Alligator mississippiensis: one gene and its partner. The protein of the gene in region 2 purifies or fractionates together with the protein of the main gene of each other region. This does not show direct contact. Links are inferred from orthologs where the notes say so. Each region holds a gene or a part of one and is shown on either strand. Other genes may lie near its edges.

Region 1 (7,593 bases), on a different chromosome or scaffold from region 2:
CAAAAATGTCTCCATAAATAGTCTGACTTTCTCTACATTGAGGTTTGCCTATGGCTACACAATCTGTTTCTTATTTTATTTCTAGATTTAAGCCATTAGTAGTCAAACAAAAATAATCTGGGTTCTTTACACTCAAAAGATATCCAAATCAAATGAAGCCCTGAAAGGTAAACATTTTAGAGTTTTGAGAGGGACACGGCCAATTTAAAACCCAGGTCACTTAAAAATAAGAGTTCAAAGTACAGTCAGATATTGCACCTGCCCGTATGTTCTCAGTCAATGCTTTTGTTTGTGTTGTTTTAGAAGCGTGTATCTCTTTACAAAAGTTAACTTTCCCTGCTGCTATGCAACACACACACACACACCCCCCCCCCCACGGGGAAGCTGAAGTTGTACAAAAGGCCTATTTGATCCACCTTGTATAGTCATCTATTTCTGTGCTAAGTTGTTATAAAATACTGCATGTAAAATAAAAATATCAAATATCAAATGCTAAATCAGAATTCTCCCCACACTTACGCCAAGGATAATGCTTTACCTTTAGTAAAGGTACTTTGCATTCGTGGAAATGACTATACAAGGTGCAAGGATGTTCAAATTCAGCATCAATGTGCCGTTAGGCGCACACAGGATGGAAAATGCATGGGAGATGTATTTAGCCAGGGAGGAGGCTAGAAAGAAGTACTATTTGAGGCTCTGAGCCTACCTCCCAGAAATTTCAGAAAGAAAAAGAAAAATCTATTCAAGAATGTCTTTTTTTTGTAAAACTGGTGTCTCTTCCTTTCTCCAGATGAAGGGATGTATATTTATCTTTAGTAAAAAGGTTTACCTGTAGGGTATCTTTGATAGAAAAATCTTTTACATATGCTTGATATGCCCAAGAGGCTCACTCTCTCCTTTTTAAGCATATATTATTAAAATAAGTTAACCTTGGGGAAAACATTATTAGTTGTTCAGCAATTAATTTAAAATGGTAAGAGGAAAATTATATGTAATGTAGCATGAGACATGTTTTTTCTGGTGTTTCTATTGATTGTTTCTCTCCTATTTTTTTAATGCATTTATTTTCATGGGAAAATAGTCACTAACCCATAAAGTTTACAACGTGAATAGTTTAATTATAACATAGCCTCAGTGTGCGGAGCCATTTTATCTCCTCTTCTCTATCTTGGTAAAGTTTCAATCTATAGGATGAATGCCACCAATAAAGTTACTCTGCTGTCCCCCAGGTCAGTGAAAGTAACAGAAAGTTGTTGAAGTTTAACTTGACCAAGGAACAAGATGTTCTGGTTTTCTCCATTTCCTCTTCAAATTCTCTTGGCAAATATGCAGACCAGCTACAGCAGCCCTTCAGCCATCAACCACATCTCTCCCCCTCATGCCTCCTCGGTCACTACAGCGATGCCACCGCCAAGGTGTTCCATAGCATTATTCTATCAGAACTGGAGATGCTGAAACTAAGTAACCATGGACTTGGAATTTGTTATTGCACAGATTTAGGAGGCGCCAATAAGAGTTTAAAAACCTTTAACCCAATCCTGCTGTCCACGTGTAAAAGGTTGCAAGATCAAATCAACAATATTCATCCTACTGCTGTTTGTACAGTTGGTGCAATGTGTAACGCTGGTGCAGCGTGTAAAGTTCCAGGACGGTTAAACGCATCACATGCTCAATATTCAATTGTGGCCACCTCAAACACTTTGAACAGAAACTATACATACTAAGGCCAAAGCTTTCAAAAGCAGTCACTGATTTGTGTGTGCCTGACTTCAAGCAGCTGGGACTTAAAAAGGAACTTAAAAAGTTTTGCGCTTTACACAGCACTGATGGTCCATATACAATTTGACATCTTTGCATGCAGAAGTCCTTGGGAACTGACAGCGATCAGTTTCCAAAGCAAAATAATCTCCATTTCGAGCATCCTAAAACTGGAAGTGTCTGGTGATGAGCAGCCACTTCTAGGCAACTGCTTTGAGCCAAAATAGTCAAAGCCAGTAACAGAGCCTGTTCTTCTCTGTTCTTAAACTAGCTCAGGAAAGAGGACTTGAACCGTTCCTCACCTGGCGAAGCAACAGACCCTAAACTTTCAAGCTGGTCCCATCCCTTCCCACAATGGGATGTCACAGGCAAAATGCAAAGCAGTGGCAAAAGCCAAAATGCAGCCACTGGCTTTTGCGGGGCCAGGAGAGTAAGAAAAAGGGGGATGCAGCGAGTTTGCCTTTTCAGCTGGCAGCTGCAAGGTGCCCTGTGATCCTTCAGCAATAAGAGGGCCCTGTGGAGGGGAGGGGAGGGGAGAGGATCCTGGCCACATTCAAGTCAGTGGACTTGAAGGGGAGCATCTCCCCTGCACGTGGCGGCAGGCCCGGGGGAAGGGCGGGCGGGCGGGCAGGGAGCGGTGCGGCAGCTGCGGGGCAGATGTGCGCGGGGGTGGGGAGAGACTCGTGGCGGGGGGCAGGGAGCCGCGTTACCTTGCAGCTGGGCTGAGAGCGACTCCTGGTGCTGCTGGTATTTGAGCGCCATCGCCTCGGCTCGGCGCAGCTGGCTCTGCAGCTCGTAGTACAGCATCGCCCCGTAGATGAAGCCAAACACCACGCTCAGCAGCAGCAGGCTCTGGAAAACCCGCTTCTGCTTTCGCGAGCACATCCCGTTGCCCATAGTCCCTCCGCGGGGCCCGCAGCCCGGCCCGGCTCAGCGGCGGGCAGCAGCTGCCGGAGGAGGCGGCAGCACGGGGCAGCGCTGCAGCCCGCGCGACCCGCCGCCGGGCGGCCCCGGCAACATGCTGCGCTGCGCCCCGGGGAGACGGCGCGTCCCGGGGCCGGGGCCGGGGCGGGGGCGGCGCCTGGCCGCGCTGCTCGGGAGCAGGCGGGGAAGGAGCCCCTGACAGCGAAACAAAGGAAACTTCCCCGCCGCCGCCGCCGCCCGCCCCACTGACGTGTCGGCTGTGCTCGGCTCAGCACGGCTCGGCTCGGCGCGGCGCTGTTGCGGGTCCCCGGAGGAAGTCCCGCTCCGGGCGCGGCCTCATTGGCCGCGCTCTGCCCTCCCTTCGGGGAGGCCGCGCCGGAGCGCATTGGGTGCCCGCCGCGTCCGTCCGGCCACGGGCGCCCCCGCCCCGCTCCGCCCCGGCCCGGCCCGGCCCCCCGAGCGCCGGCAAGGGCAGCCGGGCGGGCCCGGGGACAGCACTCGCGCTGGGTGTGCGCGCAGGTTGCGTGTGTGTCCACACTGATGCCAGGTGTGGGCACAGGTTGTGCGTGTATGTACACACAGATACCAGACGTGGCTGCAGGTTGGGTGTGTGTGCATGCGTGCCGACTCCAAGTGTGGGCACAGGTTGTGTGTGTGCAGATTCCAGGTGTGTACACACAGATGCCAGGTGTGGGCAGAAGTTGAGTGTGTGTGTGTGTGTTTATACGCTGACACCAGGTGTGGGCACAGGTTGTGTGTGTGTGTGCATGTCCACACTGATTCCAGGTGTAGGCACAGGTTGAGTGTGTATGTTTGTGTGTGTTCATGCAGACTGATTTCAGGTCTGGGCACAGATTGAGTGTGTGTATGTGTTTGTGCATGGCCACATCCATTCCAGGTGTGGGCACAAGTTGTGCAGGTGTGTACACACAGATTCCAGGTGTGGGCACAGGTTGACTCTGTGTGTGTGTGTGTGTGTGTGTGTGTGTGTGTACGTGCTGATTTCAGGTGTGGGCACAGGTTGACTCTGTGTGTGTGTGTGTGTGTGCGCATATCCACACCAGTTCCAGGTGTGGGCACAGGTTGTGCGTCTATGTACACACAGATACCAGATATGACTGCAGGTTGAGTGTGTGTGCACGCATGCTGATTCCAAGTGTGGGCACAGGTTGTGTGCATGTGTGCATGTACACCCAGATTCAGGTGTGGGGTCACGTTGCTTGTACCTGTAGATTCCAGCTCTGGACGTAGGTTGTGTGCACACGTGTGTGCAAGTTCCAGGCAGAAGCTGTGAAAAAGTCTGACTTTTTCTGCTTCGGGGGGAAACAAAAAAAGAGTCCAGTTAAAGCCTTGTCAGGCCTCTTTGTTCCAGCCATGGTCGTTTATAGCATGTGTACCTGTGACAACCATGCATCTGTTTTTGAAGGACTTCTGCAAGAGCAGGAGCAGTCAGAGGGAGCGCTCCCTGTGTATATTTTTGCAGCACCCTCCTTGACACGCTCCAGCTGTCTGTGTGTTTGGGCTAGAGATAGAGGTGCTGTATATGTGTCTTGCTTGCTTCTGCACAGGCTCTAATTTGCAGGGAGGCAGCTTGTTTTACAGCTTGGTACAGAAATAAGCAGGGTGCTGATATAAACTGCAGATACTGACTATTTAGGATAATTATTATTATTAAATATGCAGCTATTAGGATAATGACTCTGGTCCCCTAGCCTGTACCTCTTCAAAGTGTTGTCATCTTCCCTGTGTTCCCAGCACCTTATGAGTTGCTCAGCATCCTCCAGGATCGGGTACTGCATGGGGAGTTACAAAAGACCTGATCATCAAAGGCCTGGGACTAGATAACACAGACCTGTGCTGGGCATCTTTAAATCCAAGATCCTTTATATGCAAGATGACAGCTGAATGCTCTTGGCACTTGGCAGGATTGCTTCAACATCTAGGATTGGATACTGATGTTTCCATTCCTTTTTGTGGGAAACTCAGTTTTTCCTTGCGGTTTATGTGGACTGTCACAATGCTGGGGTTTGATGATTACATGGGAGAAATGTTTTCAGCTCTTCAATGCAAGTCCCAAATGCTTCCTCTAAGGACGCCTTTCGCTGTATTTTTGGATTCAGCTCCCGTTCAATATTGTTTATGTTTAGTCTTCTGTTTCTGTTGCAGTACCTCTAAAGCCAGAATCTTCTACTCTCACCCACTTTCAGTGCTATCATTCAGCTCTAAAATGGCCATACGGATAAGGGTAAGGATGGTAAAAATAGGCCCTTTTGGGCATGTTTTGTAGTGAAATAATGAAAAGGTTTTCTTTCTCCATGTCAGAATACATCTTACATCTCTAGATAAGTGCATAATTTGCATAACAAGAACTCTCCTAAGTTTTTGCCTATTGCTTAAACTCAGGGCTGGATCCAAGGTCACAACCCCTTCAGTTGTGTGATGCATGTCAGTACTGGCATGTCAGCACAGCTCTGGCTGGAGCCTCACATGTGCCTTGAGCTCTGGGCTCACCCTTTGGCCCATGCAGGTTTGAGCTATACTTTCACACAGCTCTAGAGTTCAGGAGATGAGCATCACCCTTCCTTCCTTCCACCCTACCCCTTTCTCATGAGGTTGCAGTGGCAATGCATAGGGGGTGCACGGGAGTGCACATGCACTGCCTGAAAGCATTGGTACACCCCCTGACAGCGTTCCCAGGGAGGGGGGCAGATGAGAGCTCTGGTGCCCCCCTGAGAGCACCATCTAGGGAGTGGGGGCACCAGGAGAAGTGATCCCTGCAGTCCCCCCGCAGCCAATTACGCTCACCCAGAAGTGCCAGCACTGCTGCTACTTGTGGGTCTGTGGGATTCGTTGTGGGGGGACTTCTCCCGCTTCCCCCCTAGTCAGCAGGATTGGCAGGATTGGACCCCCCCCCCTCCACTCCCCAGTCGCTGACTGGTTGCTTTGGGGACAAGTGCCTCCCTGACTCAGGAGACACCAGTCGCCCATGTGGGGCCCCTATTATAAATATCTCTTATCTGCATATAAAAGTGCATAAACAGTTTAAATCCATAGCATCTTCCAGCCCTGCTGTCTATTTTGCAACCTAGTAGTACTCCATTTTACTGCATCATCAGTGAAACTGATAACGCATCTAAATTTCAAGGGGTCTAGGATAGTCTTGAGCTGAACAGGTCCTGAAAATTTCAAAGCTACTATAAAAGGCACCAGGCATCCTTGAAACATGGTAGAGATGTTAATGAGGTGCAAAAACCTTAGGGCGAGCTGTTCCTGTGATTAATGAATATTGTTTACCTTGAATTCTTGTAATTAATGAGCATTCTTTACATTGAAAAGTATTCTTTACATTGAGTTCCTATGCCCCAGGTAAGTACATAGCTTTGAAGCTGTGGACTACAACAGAATTTTCTGCGTACATGTTTATCTTGCTCCTTCAAGTTCACGCTCAAATTCCAATTCAGTGGTTGTGCTGTACAGAAAATTAATCTTAAATACTTAGGTTTCTTCATACTAGAACAGACCAGTGAGTCATCTAGTCTAGTTATCTGTATAAGTGACCATTGCCAGATGCTTCAGAGGAGAATGTAAGAAAACACAGTGCAATAGCCTGGCCCCAATGGAAGTTTCTTCCAAATAGTCTGCCAGATGTTGTAAAATATACAGGCTTGCATCCTTTACTACTTTTAAAATTCTAATAGATGTGAATATTCTTACGATCCAAGCAAATGCTACAAAGCCCTCAGCTTCAGTAACTGGTAGCAGTAAATTCCTCCAACCAATTGTCTCCCACCTAAATGTATTTCAGGGTCTTTTCATTCTAAATTCCCTGTCTTATGTTGAGAGAAATACTGTCTCTTCTCTTCCAATATTGTAAGAACATAGTCTCTCATTTTCTTTTTCTGTACTGTTCATTCAACACATTATGTCATTACTTGATCTCTTTCTCTCATATACCGCTTACCTTGGAAAGTTAGCACAAGAGCTACAATCTCAGAATTTATTGGAATTTAATCAGAATTGAAGCCAAGTACTGAGCAGCTAAGTCTGGTTTCTGTTTAAAACATTTAGACTTGGAGAATGATCTTATACATTTTGCAAAAATACTTTTAAAAGTTCCCTTATTCCTCCAGTAGAATTGCTGCAATACTTTTCTTCCCTGATTTAATCATTTCACTTCTTGTTACTGAATCTTCAACCAATTTATTTCTCTGCAGACAGAATTCAATCGAAGCCACTATTAGCAGCATAGATGCTAACATTAATTTGCCTCTTTCAATTTACACTATTGTAGACCCACTAATCTGCAGTATTGCCAATCCCAAATGTTCAAAAATAATGAGTCAGACACTAAAGAAATTGTGAGTCAAGCTTTAAAATGATGACATTTAAAATTGATTTATATTATGATGATTATGATTATTAGCCTTCTGCTTTTTGGAGCTTTTATAGGTCATGTTTTATGCTTCTCCTTAAAATCATGAGAGAGAAACTTCTTTAAAAATATTCCTAATTCTTACATAGCTTGGGCCTATTAACAAAAATAATAAATAAGAACATAAGAAGCACTTTACTGGATCAGACCACAGGTTCAGTTAGCCCAGATACATCTATCCGATACATCTATCCTGTATCTCTCAGTGGCAGAGAATGGACACCAAGGGAAAGAGTGTATATGCAGGACCTGTCGAGACTGTTCTGGTTTCTGCCTATCTTCCCTTACAGCTCCCAGCATTCAGGTTACTATGAAATTTAAGGGAATAGACCACAGTTATGATGAAACTCCATTCCCTTCTTTCATTCCTAATCTCTACAAATGCAGAGATTTTTCCCAGTTCCCAGACTCTTGGGGATGAAAAAGCATGACTTGTAGCACTAATGGGGTTTATCCAACTGCAGAGAGCAATAGTAAGT
Region 2 (8,015 bases):
CCCATTCAAACCCGACCACAACTCCACGCCCACTCATGTTTCCTAAGGAAGCCGGAGACATGTCTGACATGTTGGGAAATTGTGTAAGTGTGTACATATATGCATGTGTACGTGTACATGCGGGGGGGGGGGTGGAGAAAGGTCCTCCTCTCCCCTTGTTTATCTCTTCTCCACGCCAGCTCTCAGGGTCAAGTTTCTCTCTCCCATGACTCTCCTAGGAGCAGGACCGGATGAGATGCTTAGAGACCAGCTTCATTTTAACGTCACTCAAGGGGGGGGCAGGCGGGACAAACATCCTTGTTTAGTAAAACGTTCTGTAACATCTAAATATAGCCCGATGAAAAGACGCTTGAAAACGGTGTACATCAAAGAGCAGCAGCAGTCTTAAAGGAGAGTTATTACTCCAGAAAGCATTTGAGAGGTACTGAATCCCGCCCCAGGTATCACCTGTGTCTGCTTCTCCCCTTCATAAGGAGAACCTCCATGAAGCAGCCTAGAAACCTGAACCCACGGCCGTCCTCTGCAGGAGAGACCAGATTCACATGCCCCACTTGCTCTGTAGGGACTTGCCCGCACTGGCCCCCTACTCCTGACTGCAAGAGGGCAGTTTAAAACGTAAACCCAAACCCAGAGGCAGATCTCTGCTGGGCGCAGGTTTCAAGATCGGGAAGAGTTAGCTTCTCTCTACCGGCCTGAACTGGAACCCCTACATTCGAACACAGTCGCCAGATGGGAGCAGCGCAGCCCAAGCTGTTGTTTAGCTACTTCAGTTCAGATCTGCGGCGCGTTTACCCTAGCGGATCCATTCGTTTCAAGAACGATTAAAATTTGGCAAGCTCTGAAGTAAGAAACATCCCTGTGAGAACAAAGTTTTATTTCCTGGTTATGCTGTGGGAAAAAAGGAAGAGGGAGGGATCAGACTATCAAGATATTCTGGGCAATGAAGATGGTGCGACTTGGATGCAAACAGAGCCAGCCCTAAAACACATGCACCCTACACCCTACACCTGCTCCAGCTGGCCAGGGTCCGACTGCAGCATTTTAACTGTTGCTACACTACGTTGTTCAGCATCCTACATACGGCAACTCCTCGTGCCCATCAGCCAGGAGCGCAACAGCATGTGTGACAGAGCACAGTGGCCTGTGCCTCCCCGGATCTCTGTGCATTTCAGTCACCATCTGCATGTCCTCTACAGCAAAGGACACCAAACATCCCCGCACGGCTCCCCCACTGCACTGAGCGTCCCCTCGAACACCACCCCTGTGGGGGGACAGACAGGGATGAGAAGGGTGGACGAGGGCAAGAGGAATTGTTTAGGGCGCTCGTTGGGGGCACCGAAGAAAGAGCACCGGGAAGAAGTTAAGCAAGATAGGCAAGCAACCGCTCAGTCCATGGAAGCCCCTTCTAGGGGCATTTAAAACAAGGCAAGACAAATGTGTTAGTAAGTATATAACAGAAGTAGTCTGCACTGGGCAGGACTGGCGCTGAGTGGTTTTCCTCCATCTAATTTCCGTGGCTCACTAGAATACCAGGGCCACAGAGTTTTTGTATTTAAATTTACTTACTTATTGAAAAGAATAACAACAAAAAAATCTTTCCCAAAAGGATTCGAAACATGCAAGAGCAGCTGTCATTTCAGAAACCCGTCTCAGACCACTCCCTGCTGCAGCCCCAACACAACACCCACCAAAAATAATTAGCACACAGGGGCCACGTTACCAACCCAGACATTCCCCCCCCCCCAGCAACAGAAATACACACGCACGAAGCCATGGAGTGACCCAAACCAGGCAGATGGAGCCAGATGCATATCATGCCAACCGGGAGTCCGTGAAATATCAGATGGAAAAAACAAGGACGCTCCAGATTAAAAGCTGAGAGATGGCAAAAGTGTGTGTGCGAGTGCAAGTGTGTGTACATGTATATGCACACACTTGAACTCGTCCCTTATCAACAAAGCCTGCCTCTGGGCTGAATCTGTCTAGGAAGCTTCAGCCCCGAGAGTTGCTCTCTTCTTTCAACACCGCATTTATTACATGCCTGGAGGAGAGGGGTTTGTTATGGGAGAGCTGCCGCAAGCCCCTCCGTGCACCCGAACGCCCGGCACGGAAAGGAACAAGCGGAGAAGCGACGCTGAGCAATCCCCGAAACCCCAGCTTCAAACCACTGCTTTTCAACTTGCGGGGATCAGACGAAGTTGAGGATCTTTAGCTTTCTCTGGAACAAACCTCGCCTACACCTTCATTAGGCTGGCACAGCCGGGGAGAGCTGGCAATGACAACGCCGGTCTTCCCAGCGGCGTCCCCGAGCTCGGCTGACTCTCCCTCTTGCACAGGGACCGAGACCCTCCTTGCTCTCGCTGCGGGATGCCCTCAACAACGGGCGCACAACTGCGTGTTGTCACTCCCGCATCCCAGGTGCCCAAACCCGGCGGCAGAAGCCGGAGAGGAGCGGACGGGGCAATGCGCACCCTCCCGCACAGGGCACCAGCATGCGGGGGCACCCCTAAATGCAACAGGGAAAGACAAATATCGGTGGCGGGGAGGGTTTCCCCAAAGAAAAGTCCCTCGGTGACCGACCCGGGTTTCTCCTGCCTCTCAGCCAGAGCCCCGAGCGAGAGCGCGGCCGGCATGAAGTTTCTCCCCGCGGCAGCGCACCGAGAGGCGGCTCCTGCCGGCCCCGCTCCCGCTCCTCACGGCTCGCGAGCGGCTGGAGCCCGAGCCGGGGCCGGGCCGGGCAGGGGAGAGCGGGGCAGAGCAGGGCAGGGCAGGGCACCGCGGCGCAAACTTCTCGGCAGCGGGGTCCCGGCAGCGGACGGGCGGGCGAGGGACGCTGACCTGTCGGCGTGTCGCTGTCCGGGGCGCAGAGCTGGGCGCCCAGCACCAGCACCAACACGAGCGCCCGCGCCTCCCGCATGATGCCGCCGCGGCCGTGGAGCCGGAGCCGGAGCCGCCGCCGCCGCCGGAGCCCGGTGAAGTAGCCCGAGCCCCGCGCGAGCGGCGCCTCCGCCCGCCCCTGACGTCAGCGCCGGGGCCGCGGCCGAGCCTAGCGCGGGCACAGGGCGCCTCCTGCCGGCCCTGCGCCCCACCGCGCCCGCCGCCCGCACCCCCAACACCGCACCTGCGCCGCGGGGCGCTGGGCTCTGCTGCTGCTGCGCCCTGCGACCTCGGGCACCGGCCCGGCCCGGCCCGGGGGCTGCCGCGCCGCACGCCCCCTGCCCTGCCACACACACGCACCCACGCCCCCTGCCACATACTCATCACACATACCCTCCCACACACACACACACACACACACCCTGCCACATACCCATCGCACACCCACGACCCAAGCCACACGCACGTGCCCTGCCACACCCATCACACACACCCACACCCCCTCCCACACACACACACACCCTGCCACATACCCATCACACACCCACGACCCAAGCCACACGCACGTGCCCTGCTACATTCCCATCACACACACCCACACCCTCCCACACACACACCCCCTGCCACAAACCCGTCACATACCCACGACCCCAGCCACACACACACACACCCTGCCACAAACCCATCACCTGAGCCACACACACGTGCCCTGTCACATACCCATCACACACACCCACACCCCCTCCCACACACACCCTGCCACACACCCCTGCCACACACACACCCACGCCCCCTCCCACACACCCACACCCCCTGCCACACACCCCTGCCACACACACACACACACCCTGCCACACACCCTGCCACACACACACACACCCACGCCCCTTCCCACCCACATACCCTGCCACACACACATACACCCTGCCACATACCCATCACACACCCATGCCCCCAACCACACACACACACTCCTGCCACACACATATGCCCCTGCCACACCCACACACACCCCTGCCACACACACCCCACCCGCACAGCTCCACACACACACACCCCTGCCACACGCACACCCCACAACGATCCCCAAGCCCTGCTCCTCCAACCGCAGCCCCCCACAGACTTACCTGGATCCACTTGCCGGGCTGGTCCCACCCCTACCACGTGTGCGCCCTGCCTCCAATTGCCCTGCCCCCAGCCCCAAGCTGCTCCTTGCTAGGGCAAGCCGGGAAGTACCAGGAAAAACTCTGAAGCAGAGCTGACCAAAACCCCAGACATTTGATCATATTTAAGGAAACCGCCCAGACCGAGATTGGAGGATCTAAAAAGAGGACATGATCAGGAAAACCCAGATGTATGGTAACCCTAAAGCTTGGGGGCGGTCCCCCCCTAGTGCCCTGCTGGAGCCCCAGCTCCCACCCCTGCAGCGGGGCTCGCTGTAAGGCCCCCACGGCAGCGGACTCTACGACAAGGCCTCATGCCCTCACATGGCTCCTAGGAAGTTACTGAGCCCTGCCTGGGTGTAGGGGGTGGCCTGGGCACAGCTACTTGGGGGATCAGGGCAGGAGGCTTCAATAACTGCGATGGTGAATCAGCCTGAAGCCTCCTGGCCAAGACCATAGGGGCATGGGGACTCGGGATGGTGAGAGAAGAGCTGCCTTCCCCCGCTCTGCCTGTTCACTCTACTGACCAGCACACCCCCACCCCAGCTGCTGCCCGTGATGGTAAGGGTGGGGGCAATAGGATGCTGCTTGGCAAAGAAACACTCCTCTGGATCAAAGGGGAGATGGAGGGCTGGGGGAAGGCACGAGGGAGAGCACACAAAGATTAATCCATGGGCGAGCGCTTGACAAGGGGGAGCTGGAAATGCCATGGCTGTGCTGGGCTTCCATTAGGCACTGTGATAACCAGGAGCAGGCAAAAGGGAGAACACGAGGGAGACGGCAAGACAGATCCTCAGAAAGGCAGAAAGCCTCACGCTGAGGTACTGATGGAGAGATACAGAGGCTAAGGAGCGATCTCCATGGAGGTGAGGGGGCTGACTCAATCGTGGGCACTGATGCCAAGGGAGATGAAAGAAGCATTGTGGGCTGACATCCTCTCTGGAGGGAAGCACTGGTCTGAGCGTTCATTTATTTGCACGGGGCTGTCGTTCTAATCGGGGGCTCAAATGCACGGCTGAGCCACTGATGACAAATGGGGTGGAAAATTATCTAATTAAACAGATAAAACCTTGAAGGCAGGTAGAGTTATAACTGTGTCTCAGTCTGATTGGTGGGAGAGAGGGATGGGGAAGGTGGGGTAGAGAGGAGAGCAGAGGGAGGGATAAGGCAAGGCGATTTTGTTCTGGACATTGATTCAATGGATACCAAAGCTTCAATGACTGCTTGTGCAAAGGTGGCATGGATCAGTGAAGGTGCAGCATGCTGATGTTTTATGGGTGTGTGATGAGGAGTGAGTCTGAGGACTAGGCATCTGCAGTGGGGGCATGCAGGAGGGGAGCACATGTGGACATTTGTGAGTGTGGGTGAATGTGGAGATGGTGTTCATGTAGGGACGGCTGGTGAGAGTGTGGATATGACAGAGGCAGGAAGGGTTCTGTATGAGTACGGCTCAGCCATGTGTGTGGGTGTGTGTGCATGCATGTGTGCATGTGTGTGTGTGAACGCTATCCCCAAGGACATTCAGAGAACACATAGGTCTCTGCTGAAGCTACCTTGGCAATTTCAGCCAAAAAGTGTCTCCCTAGACACAAACTTTCCCACACTTCTCTCATGATGATCCTCCAGGGACAGATTTCCTTAGGGGCTGAGCTGGGTGCTGGGCTTCTTGGTAAGTTGGGTCCCAGCTGTGGGCTCTGTATATGAGGAAATCTCAACCCTGCTGTATCCTGGCATGTGAGATCTGAATAGCTGGAGCTAAGCCCACTTCTGGGGCTGGCTGCCTGGAGAGCATGGCAATGGGCACTCCACAAGACACACTCCACAGAACCAGTGGAAGCAACTGTCCAGGAACAAGTTTAAAGCACTGCAAAGACTAGCACCTGCGAGTCACCCCTCCAATCTGTTTGCAGTGAGGCAACAGTACAGCAGAGAGCACCCTGCGAGCCCAGCTCCACTCTCAGCACTCCCTGCAAAATCAATGCAACTCTTTCTCCCAGGCCAGGACTCTTTCCCATGTGTTGTGAGGGGAGGTGGGGGGGGCAATGCTTGGAGATGCAGCTTGGACCTGGTCATGCTTCCTTGGGAAATTAATGAAGTGTGACTCAAGAGGGACAATCCTGATGGGAAAGTTATTTACAGCCACACACCGAGTAACTGATGCACAAACTCCCAAACATCCAGCCAAATACAATGGCATAGACACAGATTGGCATGAACACATACACACAAAGATATACAAGTACTCACAAACACATGATCACACATGGTGACATATAGGCACACACTGTCCAGCCCCTGGACAGACAGATACAGGCAGACATGCCAACTGGTGACTGTTATACTCAGAGAGGAATGTACAGATAGGTGGATAGCCCTGGACAAAAGCAGTTGCACCCCCGCCACACACCCACACCCACACACACACTGTGGTGTCCAGACTGGGCCAAGTGGGAGGAAAGTTGTCCTCTGCTTCTGTCTGCCAGGCCCGAGTGTGACAGATTGCTGTGTCAAACAGCTAATATATGGGTGTAATTCAGATCTGCAAATGTACTAGGAAAATCCCCAGCCCTGAAGATGTGTGCTGTATCTCTGGGAATAGCTGTGCTCTGCATTGCTTTGTGCTGCCAGCAGATGCAAGGAGCTTTATCCAATTTCTGTTCTGTTCCCCACAAATACAACTCAGCGCTCCAAAAGGCAGCTCTGCCACTCTTGCAAATTGGGCTCATCTATTTGTTTTATCCTGCTGGAGGCAGATCCTTCACAGGACAAACACCCTCCTGGAATATGAAATTGCTAGGCTGGGCACACAGGAGCGTTCAACATAACCGCTTCAGTGCTGCATATAGGCTAAAGATGCTTCTGTGGACAAGGATGGTGCTGGAGTTGTTCCACTGCCTCACACAGTTCCTGCAGCAAAGGCTGTCACCGTCCATAAGTGACATGGACTGATAGATGAGGTGTGGGACTAGGAGTCAAGAAACCTGGCTTCTGATTTTGGCTCCACCACTGACCTCTCATGGGACCTGGAGCAATCACTTCTCTGGATCTCTGCTTCCTTCTTCCTGCCATCAGTTTGTCTTATCTGGCAATAAAGCTACACTGCTTGCTACCCAGAGCATCCACGGGTGGCAGAGAGTGGAATGACCTTCAGGGAAGGTTAGCTGCAAAATAAGCAGGAGTAACTGATAAATAAGCAGTCATGGACCAAGCACCGGCAGCACCACCAGGCTATGGTGGGGACAGCAGATGGCAATGCATTCTCTCCTGAAAAGCCACATATATCCTTTGATGGTGCTGTGACATGGCAAGTACAGTTTGCCTTATAATAAGCCTGCCCAGCCCCTAGCCATGGGTCTACAAGTCCCCAACAGCAGAGCATGCAGAAGATGTTAGAATCTCAACAGCTGTGAAGGCAGATGAAGGCTGCAGCAGAATGAGATCTCCAATGCTCTTGGCCTCCATGCCATTGGATCAAGGCCCTGTTCTGCCAAGAACCTCATGGAAGCTGATGTGCAGCAGCTTCTCCACAATAAAGAAATCATGTACAGGCATCTTCCATGGAAACGGCTTGCCCAGCATATTCCATGGATAAGACAATCATCTTCAACTGCCAGGGATTGCCGATGACGGTGTCTTTTCTGTTTAGACTGAAGGCTCTTTGGGGCAGTGACTCTCAGGATGCATATGTGCAGTGCCTAGCATAACAGCACCCTGATCTCAGACCATCTAGGAGCTACTGTTGCAGTAATAAAGGCAGGACAGGTGGAACATTTAAGACCTCAAGCCAGTGCCTAAGAAACCATATTCTTCATAACAGTATTGGTCAGTGTGGAGTCACAGCCCTTGGAGTCAGGAGAGCAGGGTTTCATTTAGGTTTGGCTGCTAATATACAGAGTAGATCTGGACAGGGTGCTCTACTCAGTACAATGCTTTCTCATAAGAAATTGCTAATTCAGCAATGCCAGAATGTTTCAC

The links. The genes of interacting proteins can lie anywhere in the genome.
Region 1: the proteins of PTPRU (region 2) and GOLIM4 purify together in Homo sapiens (affinity purification with mass spectrometry; 3 studies listed by BioGRID and IntAct, counting the BioPlex papers as one, with this or other methods). This does not show direct contact. The link is inferred for Alligator mississippiensis from reciprocal best matches to the Homo sapiens genes PTPRU and GOLIM4.

What each region holds. Positions count from the first base shown.
Region 1 is NC_081830.1:73,493,494-73,501,086, forward strand, and holds the start of GOLIM4 (Golgi integral membrane protein 4), read right to left. Parts: upstream 3,005-7,593; 5' UTR 2,656-3,004; coding exon 2,469-2,655; intron 1-2,468. UniProt on the Homo sapiens protein: Plays a role in endosome to Golgi protein trafficking; mediates protein transport along the late endosome-bypass pathway from the early endosome to the Golgi.
Region 2 is NC_081829.1:10,863,420-10,871,434, reverse strand, and holds the start of PTPRU (receptor-type tyrosine-protein phosphatase U), read right to left. Parts: upstream 3,003-8,015; 5' UTR 2,918-3,002; coding exon 2,839-2,917; intron 1-2,838.